Linked DNA regions of Rhinolophus ferrumequinum. The protein of the gene in region 1 interacts with the protein of each later gene in a pairwise test. Links are inferred from orthologs where the notes say so. Each region holds a gene or a part of one and is shown in the gene's direction. Other genes may lie near its edges.

Evidence for each region.
Region 2: the proteins of BHLHE40 (region 1) and AAMP interact in a two-hybrid assay, tested with the Homo sapiens proteins (2 studies listed by BioGRID and IntAct). The link is inferred for Rhinolophus ferrumequinum from reciprocal best matches to the Homo sapiens genes BHLHE40 and AAMP.
Region 3: the proteins of BHLHE40 (region 1) and SMYD1 interact in binary tests that used the Homo sapiens proteins (3 or more experiments, as listed by UniProt). The link is inferred for Rhinolophus ferrumequinum from reciprocal best matches to the Homo sapiens genes BHLHE40 and SMYD1.
Region 4: the proteins of BHLHE40 (region 1) and RBFOX1 interact in binary tests that used the Homo sapiens proteins (3 or more experiments, as listed by UniProt). The link is inferred for Rhinolophus ferrumequinum from reciprocal best matches to the Homo sapiens genes BHLHE40 and RBFOX1.

What each region holds. Positions count from the first base shown.
Region 1 is NC_046300.1:4,920,137-4,927,891, forward strand, and holds the start of BHLHE40 (class E basic helix-loop-helix protein 40), read left to right. Parts: upstream 1-4,296; 5' UTR 4,297-4,562; coding exon 4,563-4,642; intron 4,643-4,805; coding exon 4,806-4,875; intron 4,876-5,138; coding exon 5,139-5,246; intron 5,247-6,207; coding exon 6,208-6,331; intron 6,332-7,650; coding exon 7,651-7,755. UniProt on the Homo sapiens protein: Transcriptional repressor involved in the regulation of the circadian rhythm by negatively regulating the activity of the clock genes and clock-controlled genes.
Region 2 is NC_046291.1:16,972,213-16,980,289, forward strand, and holds the start of AAMP (angio-associated migratory cell protein), read left to right. Parts: upstream 1-4,729; 5' UTR 4,730-4,823; coding exon 4,824-4,944; intron 4,945-5,362; coding exon 5,363-5,521; intron 5,522-6,261; coding exon 6,262-6,381; intron 6,382-6,892; coding exon 6,893-7,032; intron 7,033-7,289; coding exon 7,290-7,434; intron 7,435-7,730; coding exon 7,731-7,814; intron 7,815-7,913; coding exon 7,914-8,029; intron 8,030-8,077. Other genes in the region: TMBIM1 (protein lifeguard 3), read left to right, coding at 1-41. UniProt on the Homo sapiens protein: Plays a role in angiogenesis and cell migration. In smooth muscle cell migration, may act through the RhoA pathway.
Region 3 is NC_046296.1:7,663,970-7,671,327, reverse strand, and holds the start of SMYD1 (histone-lysine N-methyltransferase SMYD1), read left to right. Parts: upstream 1-4,182; 5' UTR 4,183-4,316; intron 4,317-7,177; 5' UTR 7,178-7,358. UniProt on the Homo sapiens protein: Methylates histone H3 at 'Lys-4' (H3K4me), seems able to perform both mono-, di-, and trimethylation. Acts as a transcriptional repressor. Essential for cardiomyocyte differentiation and cardiac morphogenesis.
Region 4 is NW_022680357.1:7,882,787-7,890,803, forward strand, and holds the start of RBFOX1 (RNA binding protein fox-1 homolog 1), read left to right. Parts: upstream 1-4,656; 5' UTR 4,657-4,753; coding exon 4,754-4,897; intron 4,898-8,017. UniProt on the Homo sapiens protein: RNA-binding protein that regulates alternative splicing events by binding to 5'-UGCAUGU-3' elements. Regulates alternative splicing of tissue-specific exons and of differentially spliced exons during erythropoiesis.

The sequences.
Region 1 (7,755 bases):
ACTAGGGATAGATATGTGGATATTCAGCCAATGAATGTAAAAGTTATATTTGTGTTTCAGAGGGTTTTATAATATATTTAACAATATTAAATTATGTTTATTCATGTGTCTTTTCTGGAGACATATTTTAAAGGGAAATGATTTTCCCAATTCAACTATTCTATAGATAAGATTTTAAAGAAACTAATCTTGACTTTGAAATCAAATTCTCTAAAGCTATGTCAAAATAAAATATTTTAGAACTATACATAGAAAGCATCCCCATGAATTCTAACAGCTGGGATAAATGCATTAGGATACACAGTGTTATTTATAAAAAATTATTTTAAAAAGAAGTTCACCACATTACTACTAGCAATAGCTTAAAATCCAAAATATTTTGCAATGCTTTAAAATCCTCTAAAGAACCCTGTTTCATAATCAATAAATCTTCCTTAGCATTTGCTAATTTAACCAGTATAAGCCATTTCAGCAAATTCTAAAAAGGGATGAAATCATAACAAGGATTATCATAACAATGTTAGATCAGGTATACCGAATGAGCTACATTCTCTGAGTCCATTAACAAAATCTTTAGGAAATTAAGGGGTTAAAAAAATTTTTTGAAGTTCCATAAATAGGCAAAAAATTATATCTGAGCAAGAGAAGTGTGAGTACACTCAGGGGGCTGTGAGAGTAACGGTATAGACTGCCCAACACACAGCATAACCAACCAAAACGCTGAGCCCCACAAGGAAAGAAAAGAAAAATCGGTCCTTGCCTTGTACAAAATTATGTTCTCTCTACACTTGGAAGAGACAAAACAGAGAGAGGGCTATAAAATGTCAGGATTACCCAGTGCAGCTGGTCAGTACTACATTGCACAACTCTAGAGGGTGCTCTGCAATGTGAACGGCTCCCCCTGGAGTTGAGCAGTGCACAACCCACACAACTCTATCAGGCAGCCTTGAGTGTAGTAATTAAAAGCACAAGCTTTGAAGCCCAACAAACCTGGGGTCAATTCCAATTCTAATTCCAGGCTGTATAACCTGGGGCAGGTTATTTATCGGCCCCAAGCCTCAATTTGCCCAAGGGAACACATTCTATATTCCTAGGACTTAGTTCAGTACCTGGCACACAGTGGTTCTCAATCAGTATGTGTGCTATAGATGTGAAAATGAGCTTTATAAGGTGGTAGTGAGGAGTAAATGGATTAACATGTACAAAGTTTGTATATACAGTCTAAAAACTAGCACACAATAAGCACTAAACAAATATCTATATAGGATGACAAACTGAAATACTGAGCTTCTTCAGGATGGAAAGATGCATGCTGGGAAGGAATTGTTTTGTTTGATAAAAAATAATCATAGGACGACCAGATAGCTCAGACTGGTTAGAGAGCTGTGCTCTTAACAACAAGGTTGCTGGTTGGATCCCTACATGGGCCACTGTGAGCAGCGCCCTCCACAACTAGATTGAAACAACTACTAGTCTTGGAGCTGTTGGGTCCTGGAAAAACACACTTAAAAAATAAAAGTTAAAAAAAAAATCATAAGCTATTGATAGAAGAAAACAGATTAAAAAATAATAAAATCTGGGTATGGTAGAACTTCGTTAGAGTGAGGATAATTCTTGAAGCTTGAGAGTACAGCTGAAACAAATAAAAAGTAGGAAATGCATATATTTTGTTATTTCAATTGTAGATCAAGTAAGGGCAAGAAATATTGATAACTTCAACGAATTCTAAGAAAATTGTCAGAGCCCTGAACCACGGAAGCAGAGAATTGTGGGTTCACTCCTGGCGTGGGGGGGGCGGTCGTGGGGGAAGCAGGGGACAGCTGAGGGGGACATGTGTTCCTTCCTCCCCGCTGTGCTTATTTCCTGGTGGAATTGTGGTTCTGACGCAGTCATGACAACTCTTCATCCTTATTAAGGTCGCACAACAGAGCAGGTCACCCTAGATTGAAAGCACAAACGCAGGACAGACTCCAGTCGCCTCCTTGGCCTGTGGTTCTGCTGCCCACCTCCTGGCAGGAAGTGGCGGTGCAGTCATTCCCTCCAGAGAGATGGCTGATAACAAAAGCCAGCAGAAGTACATTCCGAGAGGGAGGGAGGGATCGCTGAGCCCCCAAGTGAGGTCATGCCAGTCAGCAGTTAGAAAAGCAGGCATTTCTCACACTTGTTAATGAGCCTGACGCTCGTGAAACATAAACAGGAAGTGGGAGCTCTCCAAAGCGGCCTGAAGGAAATCCACTCCCAGTTTGGTCAACGTGTGAAGCCCAGTTCTCTGGATTGTCAAGGTCATTGCCAATTAAGACCGACATCCTCCCCGCTCCCCCCGGCGCACCCGAGGCGCATCTGGACCCAGCCCAGCAGTGACCCCCCCCCCTTTTGCAGTCTTTCCCACAGCCAGGTCACTCGGCGGCGGGGTGACTGACCCAGGCGGGGGAAAGGCTGACAGTCATCTCTCAAGTCCCGGGCGGGCGGCGGGGCAGGGCAGCGCAGAGGTCAGTGAAATCCCCGCCGGGCCTTATTTTAGTCATGAATTTCCACTGGCTCCCTCCTCCGACTGCATCAGCGGGACTCGCGCCGCTGCCTTGGCCTTTGAGCGGTTCTCCCTGCTCCAGGTCGAGTGAGAAGGTCACAGAGACCGGACTTTTCCGGGGGAGGTGACGAGGTGGGGGCCTCGGCGAGCGGCCTACGGAGGATGGCAGAGACCTGGGGCGCGTGGAGGGGGCGTTTGGACCCCGGGCTTCTCCACTCCTCCTCTACCCAGGCATCTCAGTTCGTATGAAATAAAATTATAAAACAAAACCACAACGCCGCAAGAAAAAACGGGGGGAGGGGAGAAATTATTTTCTCTACCAGCCAGTGGCCCCGATATAATTTTCCCAGGCTGCCTTCCCCTCGTTGCCCAATCTGTCCTCTTCGCAGCGGTTCCTGTAAATTCCCTGTAAATTCAGGGGCAGAATCTGTGTTTGATGCCCCCAGTTTCTGTACAACGGGTACAACGCCGGGCACAGAGTAGGGGGCTCGCTCAACGACGCGTGTAAATGCTACGATTCACGGTGACGGGCAGGCTTCTCGCCTCTCCCCCCTCCGGTTCTGCGCGCAGACCGCACACAGCGCCGCCAAGTTCCTGGCAGGCATAAGACTTGGCCGACCCGGCGGGCACACCGAGTCCTGGGGTTCGGTCTCCCAGCCGCGCACAGGGCCGTGCAGCCCGCGACGTTGCGGCCCGAGCCCTAGCCACGTGAAGCGTCCCGCTCCGGCCGCTGCAGGGCAGGCGTCACCGGCGCGGTTGTGTAACTCTGCAGCCGGAGGGGAGGCGGCCCGGGAGCCTTGCTCCCGAGGGGGCAGAGGAGGGAGGAAAGGAAGGGAGCCGCGCCGGGTGTCTTTTTGTGCTTGACTAGTGAAGTGGGTGGGGGGCACCCGGGGGGTGCGCACGTGGGTGCCCGCGGCCTGCAGGCTACGCCCGCCAGCGGAGCTCGTGGGAGCCAGGGACCGCGGCGCACACGCTCCGCGGTCAGGTGCGCGCAGCGTGCACGCCGGCGGCCTCGGCTGCCCCTGCGCTTGGCCACCAGCCGGCTTCCCATGGGGTGACATCCGCCCCGCCCCTCGGCCCCTCCCCACGGCGGGCAATTCCTGGACGCGGGGCAGCGGGGTGGGGGCAGGGAAGCTGAGACGGAAAGAAACCCCAGCCTCTGGGGAAGGCATGGGGCCGGGCGACTCCCTCTGCAGCGCGCGGGTTCCTGCGAGCGGCCAGGCGGGGGAGGAGGAAGAGGGCTGGGCTGGAGCGAGCGAGGGGATATTCCTCTCCCAGCTTGAGTCAGACGCGGGCGGATCCGTCCTCCCCCGTCCCCTCCCAGGAGACGGGAACTTACTTCATTTCCCTGGGGCAGGTTCGCCCACGTTACCACACACCTCCCCCCCGGCTCCCCTTCCAGCTTCCGCGCCCCTCACCCGGCTGGGCAGGACCCAGGCCGCGCCGCCACCCCCTCTTCGGGGAAAGGCAGCCGCACCGCAGACACCTGGGGGCCGGGACTGGGGGTGGGGGCCCCTCGCCGCCGCGGGAGCGCTGTCCAACACGTGAGACTCATGTGATGAAGCCGGGGGAGGGCGGGCAGGTCGCTCCTTCCCTCCCCGGCAGCGGCCAGACGTGCCTGGAGTCACAGGGTAGAACACGTAGCTCCAACCCACCCACTCGCTCCCATTTAACCCAGCCCGCAGCCTCTCCATTACTCCACGGCTCCCCGCCCTCACTGCCCCCCCGCGCTTCCCTCCCGCCTCCCCGCCCGCCCCACTTCTCATTCACTTGGCTCTCACGGCGCAGACGGCACAGGGAGCACACACCGCCAGGCTGTGCGCAGAGTCGGAGCCAGAGGCCGCGGGGACACCATGCACGCCCCCAACTGAAGCAGCAGCATTTCGTAGCCGCAGCTCCCGGCAGCCAGCGGATTTCAGGGAGCTCAGATTCAGAGGAAACCTTGCGGAGAGAGCTCCGAGGCCCCCTCCAGGACAGTCCTCACCCGACGATCTCCTGCAGACAGGAGCGCGTTGTGGCCCCGGTTCGCCGTGCCATGGAGCGGATCCCCAGCGCGCAGCCGCCCCCCGCCTGCCTGCCCAAGGCGCCAGGACTGGAACCTGGAGACCTACCAGGGTAAGTGGGCACCCCTGGCCCCTCAAGCCTCAACTCCAGCCCCGCGTTCTGCTCGGCGCTCTACTTGGAGCAGCTCTGGGCGCATCCGGGGGTTCCTGCCCGCCAGGCTCTGCAACCCGGGCTCACACAAACTCACGACCCTTCCTGGCCCCTCTCCCTGCAGGATGGATTTCGCCCACATGTACCAAGTGTACAAGTCGAGGCGAGGAATAAAGCGGAGCGAGGACAGCAAGGTAAGAGCCCCGCGCCCCTGGGGACCCCAGCCCCTAGCATGCGCTGAGTTTCCAAGAAAAGTTTTCTCACTCTGAGGCTGGAGGGGTATGCGTGGTGCGGGCTCGGCGCTTCTACCGAGTGGCTTGGAGAAAAGGGGGCAAGAGGCGGTTCTGGGTGTGACTCTGCTACGCTGCCCCGACTCTTCTCGCGCACCGGGGTGGGAAGGAGAGGGGCTTCTCACCCCCTTCCTTTGGTGCCCACTGCCTGCCCGTGCGCCTTGCAGGAGACATACAAACTGCCGCACCGGCTCATCGAGAAAAAGAGACGTGACCGGATTAACGAGTGCATCGCCCAGCTGAAGGATCTCCTACCCGAACATCTCAAACTTACAGTAAGTGAGAAGCTGGCGGCTCTCCAGGCTGGCTCCTCAGCCCAGAGGGCGGGCGGGGGTCACTCGCCGCCTGCAGGCCCAGCCGGGAACTGCAGGCCCCTCAGGGAACTGCCGAGTAGAGAGCTGGATCGGAGCCCGGGTGGCTCTATTTGGGGGTACCCTTCCCCAGCCCTGGGATTTTCTGGCAGCCTCACGCAGAGGAGGTGAGAACCGCTTGGACTTCTCCAAGTTGCCTCCAACACCAGCTGGCCTTCTTTTTCCAGAGTTTTAGATTTTCCCGTGTGGTGATTTTCAGGGTTCTCGAGTTTTCCTGACTTGAGCAAACCAAGCAACACACAGATCTTATTTACCCCTTTTTCTCCTTTTTTTTTTTTTTTTAAGTAATAGGACTTGTTTTGGTGTGTGATTTTTACATCCTGTCCTTTCTTGGGAGTAGCCTACAGCTTACTAACTTGGCAGACTTTGGTTGGGGAAAGGAAAAAAAAATAGTATTTGAGGAGGAAAAAAAAAGACTGGATGAGTTGGGAGTTATGAACGGGTGTCAGGAAAGAAACGAGGGAAAACCTCTTGGCTGTAAGACACAGTAGAAATCCCTCCTCGGCTGACACCACTGCAGAGAAATGTTCACTTGATTCCCGAGTTAAGGTCAGCAGCCACTGCTGGAGAAATTTATCTATCAAAGATTTTTTCCTGAGGTAGCCGCTGCTTCTAAAATGCCTCCAAAGATAGGTGGCACTCATTTTTTTATTCTTTAATCCGATATATATGTGTGTGTGTGTATATATATATACATATATATACATATATATATAATCTATAAATTTTAAATTACATTTAGCTAGCCAGGAAAGGCTAGTTCTTTTTTTTTTTTTTCCTTTAGAGACATTTCTCATTGCTAATAAGTGTCTGAGAGGTGGGACTTGTCTGAGCTCATTGCTGACGGAGGCTCTTTTGATTCCAGACTTTGGGTCACTTGGAGAAAGCAGTGGTTCTTGAACTCACCTTGAAGCATGTGAAAGCACTAACAAACCTAATTGATCAGCAGCAGCAGAAACTCTTGGCCCTGCAGAGCGGTTTACAAGCTGGTGAGTGCCTGCGTCTGGCTGTCATCTCCGGGGAGTTCTCGTCGCACAAACAGAGCCTGTGGGCTCAACATCTGCTATAAGAAACAGTGCTGCAAGGAATTGCTTGTGCATGTTTGTTTGGGGGAGATGCCATTTTATCGTTCCTAAAAGGTCAGACTTCTTATTTGGAATGCTGCTGTGTGCCACCTGGCATGAATACACATTAGTCAGATGATAAAATATTACTGTGACATTTTGGCTTAAGAGTTTCTGGGTTCTGGGAGATTTCCCCCCTCCCTTTTAAAATGCCAAGGCACCTATAATTTGCATCGTGGGTGTTTTAGTTGGTCCTCTTAGCCCTCTTTCAATGGAGAATAAATCAGAGGTATGCCCCAGTGTTTTCCTGTTTCTGTACTTCCTTATCTCTCGGTGTGTGGTATGATCCTGGCAGGATGACAGCAGGAGTTTTTCCTGCATTTCATGTGGTTCCCTGAATAGCCACTAGGCATCTTGGTGAATTGCACAATCTAACGAAACCACTGAAGTTTCATCATTCGTTTCTACTCTCTTCCAGAGAATCACACTCACCTTCTAACCTCCTCGTCTCCCTGCTTCCAGATAATACTGTACAGACTGGGGAAATTCTCCTGCCCACTCCCTCATTCCATTCTTCTCTGCCATCCTTGCCAAGCCTAGTGGGATGAGAATCACAAAAATCTAGCATGTGCCTCTGCCAGGTCCCCCACTGAAAATAGAAAGATGATCGTACCTAATGTCTTGGGGGTCCTGGATCGAATACATAGAAAAGGCTTAGAAAGTGATTAGCTCCATTTCAAGATGACTGCATGACTGCAAAGGGTAGAAGTCATTGAAAATCAGTTTACTTAAGGTGACATCGTTCGCTCATTCTTTCTCATTTTATGACTATCTCTGTCCATCTTGCTATGATGAGATTGATGTTCTATAAATTGACTCTTTGGTTTGTAAACAAACTAGGATGTTCGCTGCTGTGTCACTTATAGTGAAAATTCAGGAACAACTTGCAAATTCAACAACAGGAAAAAAAGTCAATATTAATTATGGTCTATTTCTATGCTGGGCTACTATGCAGACATTACAGTCATTTTATCTCTGGGTGGTAGGATTCTGGAAGATTTTTATTTTATTCCTTGTACTTTTCCGTGCGATCTACATTTTCCCTGGTCGTATTACTTTTGGAGTCAGGCACACAAATGAGCAAATATATTAACAATGAGGGGAGCCCCCAGTCTTGGGAGCACAGGTGTCCAGGTAAACCTCACGGCCTGCTGAAATGTCTTCCTGTGTGTCTGTTGATCCAGGTGAGCTGTCGGGGAGAAACATCGAAGCAGGTCAAGAGATGTTCTGCTCGGGTTTCCAGACGTGTGCCCGGGAGGTGCTGCAGTACCTGGCCAAGCATGAGAACA
Region 2 (8,077 bases), on another chromosome or scaffold:
TCTTCACCTTCGTGCTGCAGCTGGTGGGGAGTCGCGATTAAGGAGCACCCCCAGTTCTGCTCCACCCTGAGGGCTGGGCCCTGTGATCGGGGTCTGGGCCCCAGACCCCTATCCTTCCCCTCAGTTTCCTTTCTGTCCTGGGGTGGGTGGCCTCTGGCTTTGGATGTGCAAGTGCCACCTGGTGAGGCTGGAGGAACTGGGGACTAACTCTTGCCCATGGTGGACTTAGCAGGTACTAGGCCGAAGATGTGCCTTCTACCTCCACCCACTATGTGGCTCCAAATTCTTAACAGCTGGGGTCAGCTGGGGTCAGCTAAAAGGGAAGGAGGCAGAAATGACCTCAAGGTGATGAGGTTTCCCCTCCCACCTCTGCCGTAGACTCTGGGCTAGGGAGCTGGAGGCGTTTCCTCCACCAGAGCCGGAGAGCTCTGTCCCCAGCCTCCGGGACTCATAAGCCATTACCCTGTATTCCTTTGGCAAACCTTGGCGCTTCCTGACTCAGGAAGATTGAAGAGATCTGTGCCCATGGGTCCCCCTAGATTCAACCCCTCTTCTTTTGATGGCATGTATATACTGTTTATGTGGGTGAGGGGGGAGGAAGAAGAGCAAGCAAAGTCCAGCACGGGCCAATACTGAGCTGCATCTCCCCTGGGCTTCCTCCTGGCGGCGGCGGCAGCAGAGACAGCAGGTCCACGGCTATCTGGGCCCCATTCTCCAAAGCTGCCTAGGGCCTCCTGGGGAATTCTGGGATCTCTGGTCAGAGGGATCTCTTGCTCCCTGTGCTCAGGCTGCTCAAAGCAGAAAGTGAGGGGCACAGGTCAGGAGAGGGGGTGGTTACATCCAGGAAGTAACCAGGATGAAGAGACTGGGCTAGAGGCAGGGAAAATGCCTCGGGGTCCCCTGCCTGGTCTGAGAGATGGAAGCCTACTATGGCACCCATGGAAGCTTCGGCGTTCTTCTGCTAACCTTGGGGAGGGCCCTGAGAGGAAGGAGACTTCCTCTCTCAGTTTGTTCTTAACACTTACTGGTGAATTTTATACTGGAACCCCATTCCTCCAGCCAGCTACTGCTTTCCTGTGGCTCTAAGTGCCTTAAGCTGGAAGGGGGAAGAGGGAGAGGGGTCACTCTATCGGGTGGGGAGGAAACCAAGTCAGCCCAAGGGTATAATTAGGATTCCCTAGTAAGTCCTCAGTCCTGAGTATATCACACAAAAGGATGTAACTAGAAATGTAATAAAGTTTTATGTTTAGAAGTTAAAACCCTGTTTGGCTCTGTTTGCTTCCCTTTAAGGTGTCAGCTCTGGGAGTATCAGTTCGGCTCTCCGCACAGCATCCACTGCCTACCTTTGCATTCTGGCTTGCCATCTTCCACCTTTTCTAGGATAACCAAATACACTTTGCCGCAGTGCTTCCTGGTGATGATGCAACAGGCGGGTGAAAGCTCAACCTGCGTTACTGGGTCTGGCAGGGACTGCTCACAGCAGCAGCACGTGACCTTTTCTGCATCATGGACACTTTACAAAACCTCTTCCCCACAAAGCTGTATGTGTACACACCCTCTCACGGTTGGAGTGGGAGAGATGGACTGCAGGTGCATGATTAAAACCCCTCGCCTTAGAAATCACTAGTCCAAAACCTCTTACAAACAAGTAAACCGAGGCCCAGAGAGGTGGAGTCATTTGGACTCAGCCATGAGTAGTGTTTTTTTCCTTCCACTCCCTCAATGCCCTCTTTGATTCTTTTTATTATTTGTTCAAAGCTGAGAGACACCCCACCCTCCTGGCCAGCAACTCTGAGGCTTGGTCCCCAGGGTCTGAGCCTAGGCTTGTTGCTTAAGTCTCTGTGGTTTCCTCAACCATCAAGCCAGGTACACTGAATACGTCAGTGAGAGGCAGCACTCGGGAGTAACCAACCCCGCCCTCTGCCCCTCCCGTCCCAAGGGACTGACAAACCCAGTCCTGGTGCCTTTCCACTCAAACACTCAATAACTTTATTTGCCTTTGGCTGGTTTCTCAGGCTGGAGGGGAGGGTAGGGGAAAGGATGAGGGCTGGCAGCAGCCTGGGCTTCATGCGCCCCCTGGTGGACCTCAGAGGCAAGGACCAGAATTGCAGCCAAACCCAGAGGACTTGACAGTCTGGAGGCCAGTCAATACAGTCTAGGGGAGGGCTGCAGCGTTCCTCAGGTCTGCACCCCGGACCCAGCTTCAGGAGACCGGGCATGATGGGAGGAGGCCCTGAACCTCTGGCTCTCATACTCGCCCGTGTTGGATGCCCGCATGTTCTGCCGAGCCTTCATCTGCTTCAAACGGTTCTTGTCCACTTCCCGCTTGGTGAGGATGAAGAGAAGGATACCACAGGGGAAGCCGATGGCCCTAGGGGTGGGGAGATGTGCACCGGGTTTGGGGAGGGACCACGCCTGAGCCAGAAGAGCTGCGGGGAAGCTCATTCCAACTTCACTGAGTTCATGAACACTGCAATACCTCTTGTGTCTATCAGCCTTCGCGCTGGCGGCTGGAGGGCCCCATGAAATTCAGATCCTGCTGCTGCCCTGCTTAAAACTCCGTAACAGCTCTCCATCACTTCCCGGACAAGTCCAAACTCCTAGGCATGGCACAAAAGGCCCAATGTGGTTGGGTCTCTGCCCACTTCTTCATTCCTTTCACCTGTAGCCTGACACCTTTCAACATGAGCCCTGCAATTCTGCTGCACAGCCTGTGCATGAGTCTCCAGACGGCCCATCCTCTCCCTCTCCAAGTCTTGGCAAAAGTTCCCTCTGCCTAAACTGCCCCAATCTCTCTCCCAGACTCCCCTTCTGAGTAACCGCTACTTAGGAGGCACCTTAGTGTGGGGAAAAGGGCATGGAGTCACAAGACCTGGTGAGAATCCCAGCTCTGAGCCTCAGTTCTCTTATCTGTGAAATGGGATGTGATATTTATCAGAAAGACTAAAACATTACACTGTAAAGTCCTGGCACACCTAAGGTGCTGAAGAAAAAGGTTAATTTCCCCCTCCTTTACCTTTAGTATTGATCAGTACTATGTATTAAAGTCAGTTGGATCCAAATGATGATATACTGAACACCTTTTAGGTGAGACCTCCATTGGGTCTCACACCAAGCTCCCAGGAGAGGATGACGCCAGAGACCCAAATTTAAATCCAGTTAGCTCAGCTTACTCCACAGAAAACCCCCACTGTCTCTCCAATTGCACACACTTTCCCACCTCCCCTGCCCCATTCCTCTGAGAATCCAGTCCTTGCACCCAGCAATTCTGTCCCCACAACCTTGGATTCAGTTCACCACCTGAAACTTAGACAAGTTTCTGGGTCCTGCCCTCCCCTGGCGCCACTCTCCATCGGTGGGCAAAGGGTTACTTTAAAACTCACCAGGCTAGTCCCACTGCTTTCATGGGATTCTTGCCCCTCTTTCTTGGAATGTATTCCAGTTCAGGAGACAGGGGCTCAGGCTCTTCCTTGCACTCCGGGGAGCTGTGGCTTTGCAGTGCCCGAGTTCTGTTCTGAGCTTTGTTAGCTGTGGCTCCAGAGAGAATCCCTGTGGATGGAGATAACGAAGGTCAGTAAGGCAATGAGAAGAAAGCCTGGGGAGGAGTGGTTGAGATCTGTGGAAGGGAAGTGACTGCAGTTCGGTGTAACAAGTGCCAGGGAGATTTCAAAGGGAAACGTTTGGAAAATCGCCATCGAGGTGACACTTTTGGAAGCCACTTCTACGTCATTGTGGGCTCATAACCCTGGTGCCAGGAGAGCAAGCCTCGCTGTTCTTTATCTGCTCGGAGGACAGGATGGGAAGGACTGCAGTGGGACTCACATGAGACGTATTAAGGAAATCCGAGAAAATGTTTTCAAACGCAGAATGTTAACACGGGAAGGGAGCTTAAAGGTGGTCTACTCCGTCCCCTCGTTTTATAGAAAGGAAACTGAAGCCCGGAAAGACGAACTGCTTCTCCCAAGGTCAAACTGCTAATTATCCGGGGCTGGAACCCAAGCCTCCAAAAGCTGAGGGCTCTTGCCTCTGCACTGCGGTGAGTGTGAAAACACCTGGAGCGCGGGAGTCTAAAAGGCTTCCTTGGGGCTCCCTCTCGCAGCAAGACCCCAGAGATGCTGTGAAACCCGAAGGCAGAGGGATGGACTGGGTGACCTCTAGAGACCATCTTTTAGCCCCCAGATTCTTTAACATCCTGTAGGGAGGTGCGAGCAGGAATCGACAGCCCTAACCTCCTGCTATCGCCGGGCGGGATGTGAAAAAAAGGTATGCCCTGAAGTACTGCCCTCCCCCGGGGCCCCTCTCCTTACCCCGGAGGACGCGGGCATTTCTCGCCCCCCGGCCCTTCAGCGCCGTAGCAGCTACCACCGCCGCCATGTTCAGATCCCACCCCCCTTCACCGCGCTCCCCGTCGGGAATTGTAGTTTGCGTAAGGGGCCACCCCCGCTCCTTCCGTCCCGCCTACAGACCAGAAACTACATCTTCCAGAAGCCCGCGGAGAGAACCGGCGAGAACTACTCTTCCCAGGAGATCCGGAGGCGCGCACGCTCGCTTGTTTCCCTCCTGTCAGGGGCGGAGTCAGGTCGGGCGGAGTTTGGGTTCTTCCCGCCACGCCTCGTCCCTGTCTCCCAACTCTGCCCTATGATTGGTGGTTAACCTAGCCAACCCTTTTCCCTACTGGCCGAGCGGCCGTCGCTCTTCTTGCTGGGGGAGTCGCCTACGCCTACTTCCTTCCCGGGAGGAGGGGCTCGAGTTCCGCGTCGTCGCGCAGAGCTGACTCTGGGAGGCGTTTGGGCCCAGAGAAGTGGATCGGCCGCTTGCGCCGCATGGAGTCCGAATCGGAAAGCGGGGCTGCTGCTGACACCCCCCCACTGGAGACCCTAAGCTTCCATGGTGATGAAGAGATTATCGAGGTGGTAGAACTGGATCCCGGTCCGCCGGACCCGGGTGAGCATTGCTGGTCCTCAGGCCATGGGACAGGAGGCGTTCACCCCTGGCCTCTGACCCCTGCTTCTCCCGCCTCCCCTGCACACCCCACCGGTTATTCCTACCGACCTCCTTCGCCCTGCCCCTCTCCCCCACCCCCACACTTAGTTCTCAGGCCTGGCCGGGGTGGGGGTTCCCCTGACGCCTCCTTTGGCCCTTCCCCTCACACACCCCCTTCCCATCATCCCCTCGGTCCTCCTTTTCCACACAGTCTCTGGCCAACCTCAGGTTCCCAGACCCCTCCTATGCCCCCGCTTCATCCAACGTGACCTCACCTACTCTCTTGCCACTTGACCCACCCCAGCGCCAGGCCTCCCCACACTTCTCTCCATCCCTCTTACCGCCCGCTGAGCCCCATCTTTTATCCCTCTCCCCAAAGCAGATGATCTAGCCCAAGAGATGGAAGATGTCGACTTCGAGGAAGAGGAAGAAGAGGAAGAGGGCAACGAGGAGGGCTGGGTTCTGGAACCCCAGGAAGGGGTGGTCGGCAGCATGGAGGGCCCAGATGATAGTGAGGTCACCTTTGCCTTGCACTCAGGTAGGTCTGTGAGGAGAGCCCTCGTAAACGCGGGCCCCGCGGGCATTGGAGCATCGCACATCCGCTGTGTACAGAGCGTTAGGAGGGACCCAGAGATGGGAAAAGGCTGGCCTGGCCCTGGAGGAGCTCGCAGGTAGGGGGCAGTATGATGGAATGGAGGCGAGCTTGGCCCCTCGAGTCCCTTGAGAAACGTAGGTTCAAATCCTATCACTGCTACTGACCAATTTATGATTTTTATCAGCTTCTCTGGATCTTAGTTTTCTTTTTTTAATTCAAGTTGATTGGGGTGACAATTGTACTTAATTTTCTTTTAAAACGTTACCTTGGTGTAAATGCGATGTTACAGTACCCTTTTGAGCGTATTTGCTATAATCCTCAAAAGTTAGCTCTTCATAAGCACCAGTACCGTGATGCTCCCCTCCCTGTTTGTACCCAGCCGGGTGGCATCCCAGGCTGAGAGCATTAGCGCTGCACATGCACCCTCCTCGTGTCCACAGCGTTAGTGGGGGCTGGTGAAGGGGGCAGCACTGTAGGGGGATCTGCCCCGGAGGAGCTTGGCAGGCTTGGGGAGTGACTTCTCCAACGACCTGATGCTTGAAACTTAGAAGAACTTGAATGCACCCTTCTTTCCCTGAGGAAAGACATGTTGCTTTGGGTGGAAGGGGGTGGGCTTCCTGCAGGTCCCAAAGGACTGAACCCTAGGTGGGAGCCCCTTACTCATGGAATATCTCTTGGGACAGCATCTGTGTTTTGTGTGAGCCTCGACCCCAAGACCAACACCTTGGCAGTGACGGGGGGTGAAGATGACAAAGCCTTTGTGTGGAGGCTCAGCGACGGGGAGCTGCTCTTTGAGTGCGCAGGTGAGGGGCCCAGGTGAGGTCGTGTCCCCTTGGGGGTCCTAGGGGGCTGGCCTGCAGCGGGTGTGCATCCAACAGCCACGTATCGATCCCCGTGTTGCCAGCTCTGGGCTGGGCCTGAGGACCCCAAAACAGAATAACGTCGTCTGTCAGGGACATAGGGGAGTGAGGCACGAATTGGGAAGGGAGTGTGGGAAAGGCCTGAGGCGGCGACACAGGCTGGCGTTGGCGTGTTTGGGAAGAGGGAAGGATGTGGGTATTCCAGGCAGAGGTGTGGAGTGGGCGGAGGGGAAGACAGAGGCCGCAGCTACGTGTGGTTGTGTTGGGGGCAGCACGGTCTCCTCTGGGAAGACCTGGGTGTGTGAGTTCCTGCAGCGGCAGTGAGTTTGCTTACCTGTTCAGCTAGGGCCTGCCCTTTTGTTCCCAGCTGGTCCTTTAGGGGCCAAATACCTGGGTCATGTGTCCCCCTCACTAGGGGCCCTGATGTTCTTTTTCTGCCCACTTTTCCTTGAAGGCCATAAGGACTCTGTGACTTGTGCTGGTTTCAGCCATGACTCTACCCTAGTGGCCACAGGGGACATGAGTGGCCTCTTGAAAGTGTGGCAGGTAGACACCAAGGAGGAGGTCTGGTCCTTTGAAGCAGGAGATCTGGAGGTGAGATCATCAGAGTGGGATTCAATTCTGGAGGGGTCTTGGGTCCAGGGTGAGCGCTTGGGGGTCTAGTCCCATCTTTATCAGACCAGCCACCTCTGAGCCAGTGCACTCTCAAGGTGCAGCACCAATATCTGTGCCTGTCACCTAGAATGTCCCCACTGATTCAAAAGCAAGGAAAGGTTGGTGGGGCTCATGAGGCAGGTTCCTAGGTGAGATGGGGTGATGGGCCTCCCTGCTGACTCTTCCTCTCTGTCCAGTGGATGGAGTGGCACCCTCGGGCACCTGTCCTACTTGCGGGCACCGCCGATGGCAACACCTGGATGTGGAAGGTCCCGAATGGTGACTGCAAGACCTTCCAGGGTCCCAGCTGCCCAGCCACCTGTGGCCGAGTCCTCCCTGATGGTGAGAGCAGCTCCCGTGAGCATCCCTGAGTGCTTTCCCGAGTGCAGAGGTTGGACGTGGCGTGCCATGTCTCTTAGGCTCCCTCCAGGGCCACAGCTGGCAATCTCCGAGCCTGCTCTTAGCACTGATGTCCTAGGTCCCCGAGCAGACAGTTCCCCCTTTCCCACCCTGAAGTGGTCTCCTCGGCTGGTCCTTGGGGGCAGTGTCCCCTCACTTCCTTGCCCTCTCCATTCTCTCGCTGGGTGTGTCTGAGTGTGCCGTCTGTCCTCTCTTCATCTGTGCTTCTGGCCCTTTAGGGAAGAGAGCTGTGGTTGGCTATGAAGACGGCACCATCAGGATTTGGGACCTGAAGCAGGGAAACCCGATCCATGTCCTAAAAGGTAACAAAGGGGGCGAGTGTTACCCTGGGCCTTTGTAAGGAAGGGGCTGAGATCTGGGGCAGGATGAAGTGTCACTTATCCCCCCCTGCTCCATCCTAGGGACTGAGGGTCACCAGGGCCCTCTGACCTGTGTTGCCACCAACCAGGATGGCAGCCTGGTCCTAACTGGCTCCGTGGATTGCCAGGCCAAGTTGGTCAGTGCCACTACCGGCAAGGTGAGTGAGACCTGGAGCTGAGCTGTGGAGCCCTCCGCTTTCTGCCTC
Region 3 (7,358 bases), on another chromosome or scaffold:
CTGACATCTCTTCATTATCAAGCCCGATACAGATGAGCTCCTCCTGAAGAGTATTACAGCTATAGGTGAAGATGAACAAACAGATGGTTTTCAAATCAGTCTTAATGGTCCCATCAGGATTTTGAAAGTGAGAGTGGAATTTTAATAACTGGAAGCACAACAATTCTTTGATACCTTTTGGAGGAATCTCCTAAAGAGATTTTTATTTTTTAAGAAAAATAAGAGAAGTAACAAGCAACATTTTTTTTTTCTTCTTATTTATGTATTCTTAATTGGCCATTATTTAAGGCTCTTATAAATATCTAAACTAAATAAATAGAGTCTTACAAGTGTTTTAAATAGTATATCAAATATTTACCATTTGTTAAGTAGCAGTTAACTGAACAGTTGATGAAGGATATTTACCTGAAATAAAGTGATGAGGTAACTTTTTAGGTACTAAATTATATTTTGTTTTTCAAATCCTACTGAATAATCTCAATCCTAACTCAACAGAGATTTCATTGCTTTCTGAATGTCATCTGATGGCCATTATAGGTCAAAGTTTCATGTTTTATGAATTGCCATTCTAGTACACAGCGAAGCTGTGGAATGATTATCAACATGGAACTGTAAACGAGTTCACAATTTTAAAGCTGTCAAGGACCTCAGAGTTTAACCTCAACACTACTGACATTTTGGTAGGAGAATCCTTTGTTTTGTGTGTGTGTGTCTGGCGGGGACTGCCCTGTGCATTTTAGGATGTTTGTAGCATCTCTGGCCTATACCAAACAGATGCCAGTAGCACCTACTCCCACCTTGCCCTTCCTTCCTTGCCCAGTGGTGAAAACCAAAAATGTCTCCAGACATTGCCAAATGTACTCGGGGTGGGGGTGAGGGTGAGGGGGTGGGGCAAATTTATCCTTGGTTGAAAACCACTCAACTGGGCTAATCCAATCCCCCTTTCCACAGATGACAAAACTCAAAGAAGTTTTGGACTTTGAAAGGTTGAAAGAAAAGCTTGGGATTTACTCAAGGTCATACAGCTAGTGGAGAAACTAGAACTAGAACCTATTACAAGACTCCTGTTCCAGTATTATTATACTACCCAGAAGTGGTATAGGAAGGTTATTGGTAGCCCTGTGTGAACTGACATCAAGTCTTCAGTAATTCTGCACATATTCAGGCATCACAAAAAACAAACAGAAAATGCCAAGTCAGGCAAAAAGCTGTTTTTTCATGAGAAACTATTGCCAAATCTTCCTATGATCTGGCTATGGGAACCAAATTGTACTGTAGACTTGACACTTATAAACTGCTCAGGCTTACTTGTTGGTGAGAGGCAGGATGTTTGGTATGAACAAAAATCTAGGAGATCTTGTTTTTTATATCAACAATGACACTAACCCAGGCTGATTGAAGAAACTAAATCTAGTCTTCCAAATTGTCCTAAGATACTTAATGGAATATCACTTGGTTGCAATGAATTTCTAATTTCCATTTTTAGTGAATGAAATTTATATAAAGTGTACACAATAATGTTTTAAGAAATTTACATTTTACTACTTTGCTTTTCCTCCAAAGTGAAAAGTTTAAAAGATTATGGAATAGCACGCAAAAATAGTATTATGCAAGAAGGTAAAAATGAAATTATTTTTATGAGGTTTTTATATTTATAGGTGTCCCTCCAGGAGAAAGTAATTAAATTATTCGACAAGGCTTTGGCGTGTTTCACCATCTTTCACTCCGGAGACAAGAAAAGCAACGTAAGGCAATACAGCAAATGCTAAAAGTTAATTATTAAATTAAAGAGGGCTAAGTGTTTTACTGAAGCACTCTGCAGTGGATTTACGCTTCAGCTAAAATCATTTCCCAAACTGCCTTACATACAGCCTTATCTCATAGGCTGTTCGCCGCTATAGTCTTAAATCTCTCTTAGATTGAGACGATCAGGAAATAGTTTTTGGTGTTAGGGGAAATGTGTTGGTGAGAACTTTAAAAACTTTTGGCAGGACCACTCCTTCCAAACCCCTGCACACAGAGACTTGAACAAATTTTCACCGTGGCCTCCCGAAGCCTACGGCAGAATACCTGGGAGGACGCAGCCCCTGAGGGTCTTACAGGAAAAGCTCGGGGCTGTCAAAGAGAGATGTACGGTTTGTCCCAGCCAACACCGGATGGTAGGGGAGGTTCCTGATCTCTCTCTGTTAAGAGTACTTACTAAAGAGCTTTCGGCTGTGAATCCTTCCTCCCACCCTTGAAGATGTGGATCTCCTACAACTCGGTGGCCTCTCTCCCAAGGACCTGAAAGTCATTCCTTTGAAATGCAATCATCAGGGAGGCAGGCGGGCCTCCCAGTCACGGTGGGAGGGCAGAACCCTCCTTTCCTTAATGCCACCAAGCAGACAGAGCTAACTGCATTCACACTGACTCACCCTTTGCAATGTTTCACTCCCTTGAATCTACTTGAACCCCACTTCTCTCCGATTCCTTCATTTTCCCTGTAAAACGCCCAGTCACCGCTGGGTAAACCAAATAAAGTCTGCTGTCACCGCTCTAAGGCCCGGCTTTGTGATCTTTGACACTGGTACCTAACATAGTAAAACGCAGACTATCCAGATAGGCCTGTAAATCTCAGAAGCTTGTTTTACAGGGTGTGATCTTCAAAAAGCCAAGGAAAACTCTCCAAAGTGATCCCTCAAAGCCCTCTTTCCTTCCCCCGGGGCCTGCCCAACTTGAAGCTCCCACGCTACTTCCTACTCTACCCAGATTCCTAACCCCACGTCTAATTGTCCTATGTACCTGCCAGGAGGTCGAATGTCACCCAACGGAGGTTTGCTTCCTTCCACGTCTCGGGCCTTTCATCCCATCTCTGTCCCCTCAGTCTTGGGGTTTCCTCATCAATGCCCCTTCCTTTTCGCAGACACTCGAGAACCACAGCCTTTTCTACCTGGCCACCTCTTTCCCACTCACACCTCGGCCTCCTGAAGGCGGAGGCGCCCCTTTGCCCTCCACGCTCCACTTGGGGGCCCTGGCGCCCCTCTCCGCGGGCGGCGGGTGGTGAGGGGCCTCCGGCCCCGACGCTGTCGGCCATTTCGTACTCGGGACGGGCCCAGCGGGCTTGGCGCGCAGGGGTTTACTGGGCCGCCGAGTTGAAGGGCTGAAGCCCGGGCCGCCCCCGCCGCCGGGGCGGGAACTCACCTTCTTTGAGGCAGGGGCGGGCGTCTACAACTACTGTCCCCCTCCCCGCCAACGCCGCCGGCCTGGGGTAAGGCCGAGGTGGAGGTGGCGGAGAGGCAGGGACACCCGCTGCCGCCAACGCCGCCTCCGCCGCCGAGCAGGCGAGGTGGAAGGAGGAGGCGGAGACCCGGGCTCCGGAGGGGAAGTCGCCGCCACCACCCGCGGCTGACTGGACGGCGCCGACGCCATGGCGGCGAGCCCCTTTAGCCCCGCCTTCCTGTTTGCTCCGCCCCCTGCGCCATCCTGCTCCGGGGCCCCGCGGCACCCCGGCCTTTGCCCCTCGTTCCTAGAAGCCCGTACGCCGAACCATCGGAGGGTAAGACAATGGTCTTACCTGGGGCCTCTCACCTTTCTGAGAGTGAATCTAAAACCAACTAAGAAAAACAAACAAAAGGCTGGAATCTGGATTTTACCGCCAGAGCATCTGAAAAATACATCATCTCCTGCTTTATTTTGCTTTCCTTTGCTAAGGCCTTTAGTACAGAGTAGATTAAGCAAAATCCTTGGTTATGATATGCTGTCATCAATGGTCCATAAATGACACCTCTGTTAATATATCCATATATGGATATATACACACACACACACACACATAAATACACAAACGCGAATCTCATCATCTTATTCCCCACCTCCCAAAAACATCACTACCCTGGTTTGTAGTCATCATTTCCTTACATATATATCTTTATCACATATAGGTGAAGCTAAAAAAAAGTTTAGATTGTCTTTGAATTTCTTAAGGTTTATATCGTTATGCAGTACAATGGGACTTGTTTCACTCAACATTTTGAGGTTCCTCCAAGCTGTGGAATATAAAACTTATCTATTCATTTCATTACTGTATAATATTCTACCCTACTGATGGGCATGCCTCCTGGTACACTGTGTAAGTTACTCTTGGGTATCCTTGTCTGTCACAGCGCCATTGCCTAATTTTAGGTTCTCCTCATCTTTTGTGAGAACCATGACAATATCTACCTAACTGATATCCTTCCTCTGACTTCACCACTCCAAACTACTATTCAAATTACTGCCAAAGGGTTCTATCTAGAAGTTGTTACTGGCTCCGCATTGTCTGATGGGAGAAGTCAAACGTGAGTACCACTGGACTTCTGTGTCCCTCCCTGATCTCATTTCCTACCTATTGCTCTCACGTCCCCACCCTGCTTTCACTTTATGATCCAGCAATGCTAAACCTTTACTGATTCCTGTAAATACCAAGCTATTGCATAACTCAACTTATTGTATATGCTGCTCCCTCTTCCTGGAGTGCCCTCTCCCTACTTCCTAATGAACTCCTTCCCTCAGAAGTAAATACGATCCTGAATTCAGTATTTCTCATTCCCATGCATTTCTTTATACTTTTACTACTTACGTATGTATCCCTAGGTAAAATGAAGTATCGCTTTGCATAATTTAAAACTTTACATGAATGTTATTATACATAGGATTCCAAAAAAATGTATACACATTTTAAGGAAGGAAAAAACTATTAAAATTGTAATAATATATATGGATAACAAAAGATGAATACAAGTCACGTTTGACTCCTGCAATTACAAGAGGTGCTCAAAGTGGTCACCATCAGCGTCCAGACACTTCTGATTATGGTGAACTACTGCTTGAGCAACATTGACCAAAGTGTCCACTTGTATACATTTTTTGGCACCCCAGGTATATACTGTTTATTCCTTTGCAATTTGCTTTTGTCACCATTTTTTTTTATATTAATGTATGCTGAAATGTGAGGTTTTAACTCGTTCAGTTTTATGGTTCTATAACATACCACTGTATGAATATACTATGAGCTGTCTGCTCTCCTATCGATAGACACTGAGCTTGTTCCCCATTTTTGCTTTTATGGACGGTATTGCTCTAACATTCTTGTGTCGTCTTCTTGTGCATGTATGTGAGAGTTTCTCTGAGATTTATACTTAGGAGATGCTGCTACTTTTCAACTAGGAGGCCTTGATAATACCCACCTCAAAGGGTGTTGTGAAAGCATACGCAGTATTGTAAGTAAAGGACAATTTCAAGCATTCGAACGGTTATTGTTGCTGTTAGAATAGCATTGAAATGTATATGAAATACTAGGACATAAAAGGCAATAGTTTGGTCCCAGAACGATAAACATCAGTATACTACCTGGGTTTCTATAGTTCCCTCCATACACAACAGATTGTAGTTGTCTGCACATGTCATGCTGGTTCTTTACCTTCACATCTCTGCTCATGCTGCTGTGGTCCTTGGGCCTGAAATGATCTCCTCCAGTTCTGCTTCTCCTCCTCCCTACTTATCTTCTCTGGCCACGTCTCTGAAGCCTTCCCTGGATACACTTTCCCTTTTGACTCCTCTGTCTCTTTCAGCATCTTCATATGCTCTTCCCTCATCCTCTCTAAATGGTCAATGTCTTGAAGACAGGGCCTATATTTTATTCATCTTGTATCAGGACACTCACTGAGCATAGTGCCTGATACATGTGCTGATAAATTCATGGGGAATGAGTGAATTTAGGAATTTTGGGAGGAAAGCAATTGGCAGCTAAGAATTTCTTGGAGCCAAAGTTAGAAAGCCGGAAATAAGCATGCTATTTTAGTAAGAACACAGAGACCAGAGAGAGTGTGAAGTTTTGTCAATGATGTAATTATACAGATATAATGGACTATTAAATAGGGAACACACTACTGTCATCCTGGAATGTGAGTGCTAGATATGCATAAGAACTTTTTCTTAGATCTTGGCTGGAAGTGATTTTGAAATGAATGGGTGAATCAGCCAGTGAATGCATGTGGAAGCAGTGAGCTCCTCCTGGCATATTTAACATTGTGAGGCATGAAGCTATTATAATGAAGCAGGGGTTGGCAAATGTTTTCTGTAAAGGGCCATGTAGAAAATATTTTTATCTTTGTGGGCCATATGATCTTTGTTGCAAATATTCAACTCTGCTGTTGTAGTGTGAAGAAAGCCATAGAAAATATGTAAACAAGTGAGTGTGACTGTTTTCTAATAAGATTTTATTTATGGTCACTGGAATTTGAATTTCATATAATTTTCAAGTGTCACAAAACATTCTTCTTTTGATTCCCCACCCCCACCCCCAGCCATTAAAGAAGTTGTTGAACCCTGGCCTAAATGAACGTTAGCTCCATGTACAAAGGAAGTCACAACGAATGATAAAAGGCTGTTGTTCTCTTACTAAATCAGACCTTAAAAAAGATTTAAAATCTTGCAGCTTTCTTGATTTGCCACTAGATGGTGGTCTCTGCAGGTATGGGGATCAGCCAGTGGGTCTTTTAATAGAGGGGATTGAGTTTTTGCAGGGTATGGTAGGTAGGTGAGCTGCTGTGGTATTAATACAGGCACACAAACTGTGGTTCAAAACTTATCACAAACCATTACTCTGGGTTTCATTTACGTTTCTACCTCCCACTTAATTTGTACATATTCCCCGAATTGCAACATATCTAACTGAAAGGAATGCAATCTGTCTTTCAAGGCCTCTGAGATTATTTGCTCAAAAGACTCAAAACAATACTATGAATATGTACAGGCTGTGGTCAAAGATTTGGGGCTGCAGTGTGGAATTTGGGAATATATTCTATCCAAGATTCCGGTAAACAAGTGGAGCTAATTGTGAGAGGATACTTGAAGCCCATGTCTAGTCTTGTGATAACGCTCCCAAACAGCCCCTACTCTTGGACTCTTCATGTCACCTTCTTCTACTCTTGAGGTGCACGACTGGGGACCTGGCATTACCCTTCCTTAGCATATCCTGCAAAAGTTGCCTCACAAGACAAGGGATGTTGGTATTAGTTATCAGGCTGTTGGCTGGTAATGGGGAAAGGGACATTCCTGCTATATTGCATATCAACACAAATCTTATGTAAAATTTTTTTTTGCTCATCTGTCCTTGTTGTCTCCCATCTCCAGTTTTTTTTTTTTTTTTCTCCCACAGGAATCCAAACCTTTCTAAATGGTCCTGGCTCTCCCCACAATACGCCAGCTGCACCTCACAATCATTGTGACAAACAAAAGTTACCCCCACACTTCTAAGATGCCCCCGAAGTGGTGGAACTTGCCTCCGTTGAAAATGGCTTATCTTCTAGATCTTGGACAGAGACACGGTATTTCTTGGG
Region 4 (8,017 bases), on another chromosome or scaffold:
GCAAAGCCATTGCCCTCGAAGGTATGGAATTGGTTCTGCCTGAGCCACAGCTCCTTGCTCTGAAAGGAACGCTGGGCTTTTCTGAGAGCAGGGAAATTCTCGGCCCTCCAACTCCAGGCTTTGCCAGGAAAACTGTCTGACAAATGGAGTTTCTGCAGGGTAGCTCGCAGGGACCATCAGAGGCTGAGACCTCACTTTACAGGCCAAAGGGCCGGCTTAACATACGGAGAGAGAAAATAAAATCAAATTAAAAACATAAAAACCTCAGAATCCTTGGATTTTTTAATTTATTTTTTGAGCAGAAAGAGACAACAAGAGGTCAAGTTCATTTTGTCTAACTTTCTGTTATATTCATCCATCTGTCCATCCATCCATCCATCCGTCCATCCATCCATCTGTCCACCCAATTGAGTATTTTCTCGGTGCCTGCTAAATGCCAGCCAGTGTGTTGGATCCTGTACTTCGAGTAATTAAAGGTGCAGGTGAGAATCTTTCCAGTTTTTAGTCATTAGAAGTGCCACACTTGCTACCACCACTCTCAGTGACCCAAGAGAGCCCCAGGATTCAGATATTTGGCAAATCTGGGGCTCCGCAGTCAGGGTGGAGGGCTGAGGGTGCAGAAGGCTTCTCTGGAAGCGGAAGCTGCCTTTTCAGAGCGCGCACACTCTTTCTACAGCGTTTACTGCAGCCTGCCAGACCTCCTTATCGCAGGTGTGCCCATCCTGTGATCCTGTCCCTCCCTTTACTTTTTTCCACAGCACTCATCGCTTTCGGTATTCTGTGCCGTTTCCTTCTAATCTGTGTTTTCTGCCCCTTCTCAGAATGTAAGCTCTGTGGTGTCAGGCGTCTTCGCCTCCCCGCACTGATACTGCCCTGGGGACCCAGCAGTGCCCGGAATGCAATCAGCGCCAACCACATATCGTCTAAGTGTTCCAACAAGTAGGTGACTCAAAGAGCTTGTGATAGAGACAGTAAATAATGACGTTTTCTCCTGATACTTTTAGTCTCCCTTTTCTGAAGCTTGAGACTATGTAGCTGCCTATATGAAAATGAGGAAGTGAGAGCAGCTTATTTGTAAGCGACTCCTTGACACTGTCCCGGAGTAAGAAATCCTTTCCTCCCGTCTCCCTGGAGTTTCTCTTGCACTGAGGCTTGGCAACTCCCAGAGAAAACCTTCCTTTCTCTAAATGTCTGCCTTTTGGACAGCCTTAGGAAGTCATACTAAGGAATTAAGAGAGGGAGAGAAAAAAAAACAACTACGATTTCCTCTATTCATTTGAATAACTGGCGAATTTGAGTGAAGGAAACATTACAAGTACTGTTGTGTGGATCAAATTAAAACTGGGGCAGTGGCCTAAGGAAGTATCATTTGGAGGTGGCATTGCTGACTGCAGGCTCCCTGGCACTGTCTCTGCTCCCTGCAGGGTATGTGCACCATGCAATGAAGGGTCCTGGTAGCTGAAAGTCAGGACGGTGGTCCTTGAACGTGCATGTGATGTAGACACTCAAGCGGCTGAGTGCCCAGGGATTCTTGTAGAGAGAGGAGGGTACTTCCCCACCCCCACTCCTCCCATTTACCTATGTAGGAGAATCGTTTGGGAGCTGGTAACATTGATGTGGCTCTTCCTCAGTCTCTGTTGAGGTGGAATTCAAGTTCAGCATCCCCAGATGCTGCAAAGGCTGGCAGAGTCCTGTCATCAAGTAAACAATAGTCACAGATATGGCGTTACCACTTGGTCTGGGGTCATCCAATGATTAAGGCCCACTGATATTAGCCACTGTTTGCAGTTGCCCTGTGCATGGGGTGTGTACTTGTCTCTGCATAATCGTGCTTGCATGCACTTGGGCAGGGATGTTCGGACTTGGCTCTGTAGAGAATGGAGGCTGGCCCGGAACCGGTTGGAGATTCATTTACAAGGTCTGGATTCCGTTGTCTCACTTTGCAGACTTCCAAGGCATCCGACTGTGAACACTTACATTGAAGCGAAAGTCTGAACCCTTATTGCAAAATGGGTCTGTAGGAATCCAGTCACCACTGAGGGTTTAAAAGTTTGGGGAGAAAACGGACTGGAAAAACCAGGTTTGGCTCAGGGCAGTCGAGAACAGTTATTGGCTCCTTACATAATGTATTTGTTTTTCATCAAGCCATTCAGATAAGGTCTTATTAAAGTGCCATGTATTATTTATTGTGTTTCTCGTGAAAATGAGCTGAATGAAAGGAAAATTCTGTCCTCTTTTGGGGGCATTTGCAGGCTTTCCCAATGCCAGTGAGAAAAACAATAAAGGAAAGCAGGGCAAACCCCAGTCAGTACAACGAGTTGTTGGAGGCAAAAGGAAAGAATGGGAAAGGGAGAGCAAGGATTGACCGTTTATTCCATCTGTGTTTTGTGGAGTGCCTTTCACTTTGGTTTTGTGAATTGCAAAATGAGAAAAACAAAAAATGAAAAACAAAAGCAAATAATGAAAGACAGAAAGGAAAGAAAGAAAAAAAGAGAAACATTTTATCCGCAAACCAGACCTTGTCTGCTGAATGTGATGTCTGAGACAACATATATAGCAAGGATTTTTCAAACTAACTACTGCCAGCCCCCCAAAAAAGAACCAGCATAAAATACCAGCCTGTACTCCCCTAACCCCCATCTCAACTTTCGCTTGGGCTTAAATGTGCTACTGTGCTCCTTCTAAATGGACAGGATGCGTGAGTCCCATCGTGTTGGAGGGACTGTTTGCAAGGGGAGGAAGTAGAAGGAAACTGCCTTTTTGGGGCCTAGTGTTTGGCAGAGTGAAGACTTTATAGTTGTTGATGACGTTTGCAAACAGAAAAACAGAAAATGGAGCTGCGGAATCATGAATTTCCTTTCCTTCAGAAGGCATTTTGATTAGCCTGCAAAGTGCCTTGCGAGCTGATGGCTCAGTTCAGAAGCTGTCATTTGGCTGAATGTCCCAGTAAGACACAGGAAGGGGTCAGCTGGGCTGCCCTGTGGCCATTCCCCAGTCCTGCCCTAAACGCTCTTTCCTGAGGGTCCCCGCACTTTTAGGGCATCTCTGTCCTACAGGCCTTTGGAAAGCCCGCAGGGAGACTTCTCGCAAGGAACCTAACAATCAAAGGCTGTTCAGACAGCCTCTAGCTCTGAAAAAGCAAACGAAAATCCGTTCACTGGGTCAAAATCTATATCACAAAATATGGCATTATCCCTGATCATGGCTTGACGGCCGCCAGGGACGTGCTTTTTTTTTTTTTTTTCCTGTGGGGACCCAGGACGTGGTAGAGTCTTAATATTTTCTTTTGATTTGCAGATCACATCCTATTTTATTGCCAAAAGACTAAGGAAATCTACTAATGAATAATTATTACTTCATAAAATAAAGGGGAGTGGGGACCGCTCTGCAGGAGCAGCATGCTGATTTGGCCGAGGAGGGCTGGACAGGCAAGAAAAAAATGAAATAAATAAACCATGTCATTTGCCCGCTGCAGCCCACAGAGTAGTCTCTTATCAGACGCGGACTTACCACCCTGTGCATTTATAATTTGAGAAGAGTGGGATTCTAGGCTGCGAGAAGCCCCCCTTGCATTCACCCCGGGCTGGCACGTTAGTTAGTCCAACAGGCTTGATTTCCACGCCATCCAGGGCGGTTTCTCCCGCTCGGCGGCTCCGGGCTGGTTGGTGTGCCGGCTGCTGCCCGCCCAGCTGCGGCGAGGCGCGCAGGAAAAGCTGCGCCCCAAATGCTTGGGGGTGCATCGCTGCCGCGGCCGCCCTGCCAGGGGGTGGGGGCCCCAGAAACCACCCTACCTCGTGCGCCAGCAGCCCCCGCTCCCCGCGCCCCCGGCCCCTAGTGTCCTCGCAGCACTTTACGAGGGGGAATCCCATTTGTGGGTTGATTTGCGGATGAGTCGGGCAAACAAATCGCCACCGAAATCTAAGACTCTGGGTCCCAGCTGGGCGATCGCGTGAATTGTCCGGCTCGTCTGGATACTGGCGATGTGGGGCGCTCGCTCGCTGGCTGCCTCGCCCGCCCCACGGAGATTTTTAGCAAACACAATTTGAATTTTGGTGAGTCGTTTAAAAAAAAAAAAAAAGGCAGAGGGGAGGGAAAAAGGAAAAAAAAAAACCCAACCCTGCCCTGGACCCATTTGACAAATGAGAAGGCACGCAGCATCTGGACCAACGGAGTGAGCCTCGGTGTGAGTCAAATCTCTCTCTCTCTCTCCCTCTCTCTCTACCCCCCCTTCTCCGTTCCCCCCCACCTGGCCCTTAGCTCTGTCAACCCCCCAACTCAGCATCTACAGAAGGGCATCCACCCCCTCTACCTTTCACTGAAGTTGCTTTTGCTTGTTCCTGTCATCTTCTGGGGCTGGGGGTCTGGAGGGCGGGGGCACCTGCCACTTTAAGAGACATCACAAAGCAGGCCCAACAACCACACTCACACAGACACACACACACACACCCCAATAAAGCCATGAAAGAAACAAAATAGTTTCCTGCCCCTCTCAAGTGTCTTAGTTGTTGGAGGCAGATGAATGCTGGGATCTAGCAAACCCAAAGGGAAGAAGGAAAGCGAGGGAGGGAGTGAGGGAGGGAGGGAGGGACACGGGGTGCTGTGGGGGGGTGGGGTGGGGAGGGAGGGTGAGAGAGAGAGAGAGAGAGAGAGAAGAGCAGAGAGAGACAGCCACCGGGGTTTGACTTAGATAATCAGCAAAATTAAAAAGGGAAAAAAAAAATTGTAGCGACCAGGCAAAGAACGGCGTGATTGCATGCGAGCGTCCCCACTCGTGCTCGGCGGGCGCCAGAGAGACAAAATGCAGCATCCTCTGACGGGGGCCACCTGCGTGGCGCTCCCCAACGTGGGCATGTGTCCCCAGCTCTCGTGTGCCTTGACTTTTATGTACTTACAGCAGGTAAGGCACGCGGCTTTCCCGTGGACCTGCATCGCTTTGGTACCTTGGAGGGGACCGGGGAGGGGACTCGTAGGTTTGGATGGGAGGGGTGCATCGCAGCCCCTAGTCTTCCGAGGATCCCTGGTACCCCGCGCCCAGCTGTTTTTGCACCTCTGTGACTACTTTGAACGCCTGCTTCCGCCGAGCTTGGGTACTGGGAGTTTAAAATTGCAAACCGCCTGCTCCTGACTCCGGTCTTTCTCGCGCCAGTGACCGACCCGTGGTGATCTGGAGCTAAACCCTTTGATGCTGAGTTTGGAGCTGTGTGGAGGCAGGCGTGTGCTTGGAGTTTTAATTTAGCGGCTTTAATAGGGAGGGGGAAAAAAGAGAGAGAGAGAGAGAGAGAGAGAGAGAGAGAGAGAGAGAGAGAGAGAAAGAAAAACCCACATACGTATGTGTGTGTATGCTCAGTCTTTTTGTTTTCTTAAGTTTGTCTGGCTGGTGCTATATTCAGTTGCTTTTGGAATGGGAGCCTTTGGGTTTCTGGAGCGTGTCAGCCCCAGAATCTGCCTCCACATTCTTAGGCAATGCTGTGAAGAAGAGCTGTTTAGGGTGCTGTCTTTGTTGCTATGTGTAAAGGCTTTTTTTTTTTTCCTTTCCCTCCTCCAATCTCCCTTAATGGTCTTGCTGAGGGATTCTGTGTTTATTTTCCATTCTGTGTACATTTCAGAATCTTTCATTGTGCGTCTCTCTATCCCTGGGTGTTTCCCTTGGACCTTCCCTGTCTTCTTTTCCTGATTTATACTAGGAAAGCTGCCACCTCAGTTGATTCCTGGGTTTGGGGAACAGCTCAGGATTGCCTTGGGGGTAGGTGACATGTGGCTTTTCCTCACTGGACAGGGGCTGTGGATGTGGCTGGCAGCGTTAGAAGGATTTTGTCATGCAGATGAGAATCCTCCAGTCCTGGGATTCCTGTCCTTCTGGATGAGGAGTTAGCAGTGATTATAGTCCTTTTATCTGTTTTCTGATGGAGTGCCTTCAAGAGTTAACTATGTGTGCTTGTGGTCCACTAAACTTCCTTTACAAGTGTGCAGAGGGGACCTCCTTCTCCAAAGAATCTCCATGTCAGTACCATGTGTGGTAGGAAGACATGTATTCATAAAATGCCGAGACTCTGTTTAGAACATTTAGGGAATTGGGGTTCAAGTTGGTTGCCTCCAGAAAATGTTTTTAGCTGTATTTTCTGTTGCAAGTCTTGTTGAGAACAGCCTTTTTTTTTTTTTTGGTGTGTTGTTTGAATATTTTGGAAACAAATTGCTTTATTCTTTTAAATATTATTTTGGTCCATTTCTCATTAAGTAAATTGTGCCAGGAAACATTTCCCAAAAACCTATTGGTAAGATATTAGAGGATTCATCTGCTTTTCCATTTCTGTGCCCTTTGCTGTGAGCGCCGTGTGTGTGTGTCTGTGTGTGTGTGTGTGTGTGTGTGTGTGTAGTTACCCACCAGAAGAGTATCCTACTGAGCATTTCTATAGCTGCAAAGCCTCAATTGAATTTAATCTAAGTATTACTATGAGTTGATCTTTGACATCCTATATTCATTTCTTTCATGTTATTTATTAATCAATTGGAATAGCATCACCTAACAAGGAGAGCTGTAGGTCTGTAGTGTTCTCACAGTTTCTTTATTCATTATTATTTTTAAATAATGTTTCTTCCTTCTAGATCATAACATTGGTTTGCCCATTTAGGTACAACTTAGGAAAGAATTCAGTGACTTTGAGTGGGAGGTTATTCTTGCCACGGAAAGGACAAGTATATAGGATAAATGCAGGAGTTCTCAGCATCTGCCTGGCTGGCTCTTCCAGAAGGGAAAAACGGTCCTGCTCTGAAAAGGGGAGATCCAAGGGAATGGTGGCAGCCATAACAAGTCCTTAGAAGTGACTAAATCAGCATCATGGTGCCATATGCAGAGACGGAGGTGGATTTTATGCTGTGGAAGGCAACCCCCTCTTGAAGGGGATGTGATGCTCTGAGTGGCACAGTGGATACACTGACACTGTGACACACGTCAGAATGCAGTGTGTGTGTGTGTGTGTGTGTGTGTGTAGGGGGTGCCTGTGTGTATGTTTCTGGTGTTTCTCTAAATGCCTGAAGAATAGTACCAGCAGACATTTATTTTTGCCTGATTTCGTGAGAATCAGGTTTTCTGGCCGCAGCTCCCAGCCTTTCTAAAGGCTTCCGGTCAGGATAAGAGAGCCATACCTTCAGGTCATCTCTCCCAGCCATTGCTGTCATCACAGTTTGTACAGAAGCTCATGTCATTGTTTTTCGTTAGCAGTCCAGACCATTGGCTGAGTGAGGGTGTGAAATAGTTCACTTGAATCACCACAAACCACTTACAGATACAATCTGTACACCATTCATCTATACAGGGCCACTGTATTTCCTATCTGCTGTTAATCCAGAAAGCTATCATTGTATCTCTGTTTAATTTTGATGATTAGAAAGTTCATCTGTAGTCTCAGAGGAAGCTGATCAAGTGGATGACTCAGGAAGCCTCTATGATAAATGCCGTCTCCTTTGGAATCCTTTTATTATTATTTAGAAAGAAACGTATTTCAGGAGGCTTTGCCATCCAGATCACCAATTGCATAAGAGAATAATTAAGACACAGCTGTCTTATTTCGGAGCCTTTATCGTTCTGGTTTCTGAATGCATGAACTCTGATTGGGGGCCACCGAGTCTTCCCCGAAATATAATTTCCTGGAATGAAGTTTCATATGGTGCTTATTTCTCATCCAACAGCTCAGGAAAATTACTTCATCATTTGCTTTCTTTGCTTCAGCCCTGACATCCAACCTTTCTTCTTAAACCCTCTCAGATTTGCTCCTAAGACAACTCATAAAAACAAAAACCCATCGGGATACCTCAGCATCTGAGTCTACTCAGAAAGACCAAGTGAAAACAACATAATCCTTTTGCCACAGAGAACTTATTTATTCAGGCCCAAGAAGAGGCAACTTTGGTGTTTAATTTATTTGCCTTAATTCATTTCATTTATTCGTATTTCCCAGTAACTCTACCTTCGATAGGTATTTTCTAAGTTATAATTCCATTTCCCCCCTCTTTCTTCTTT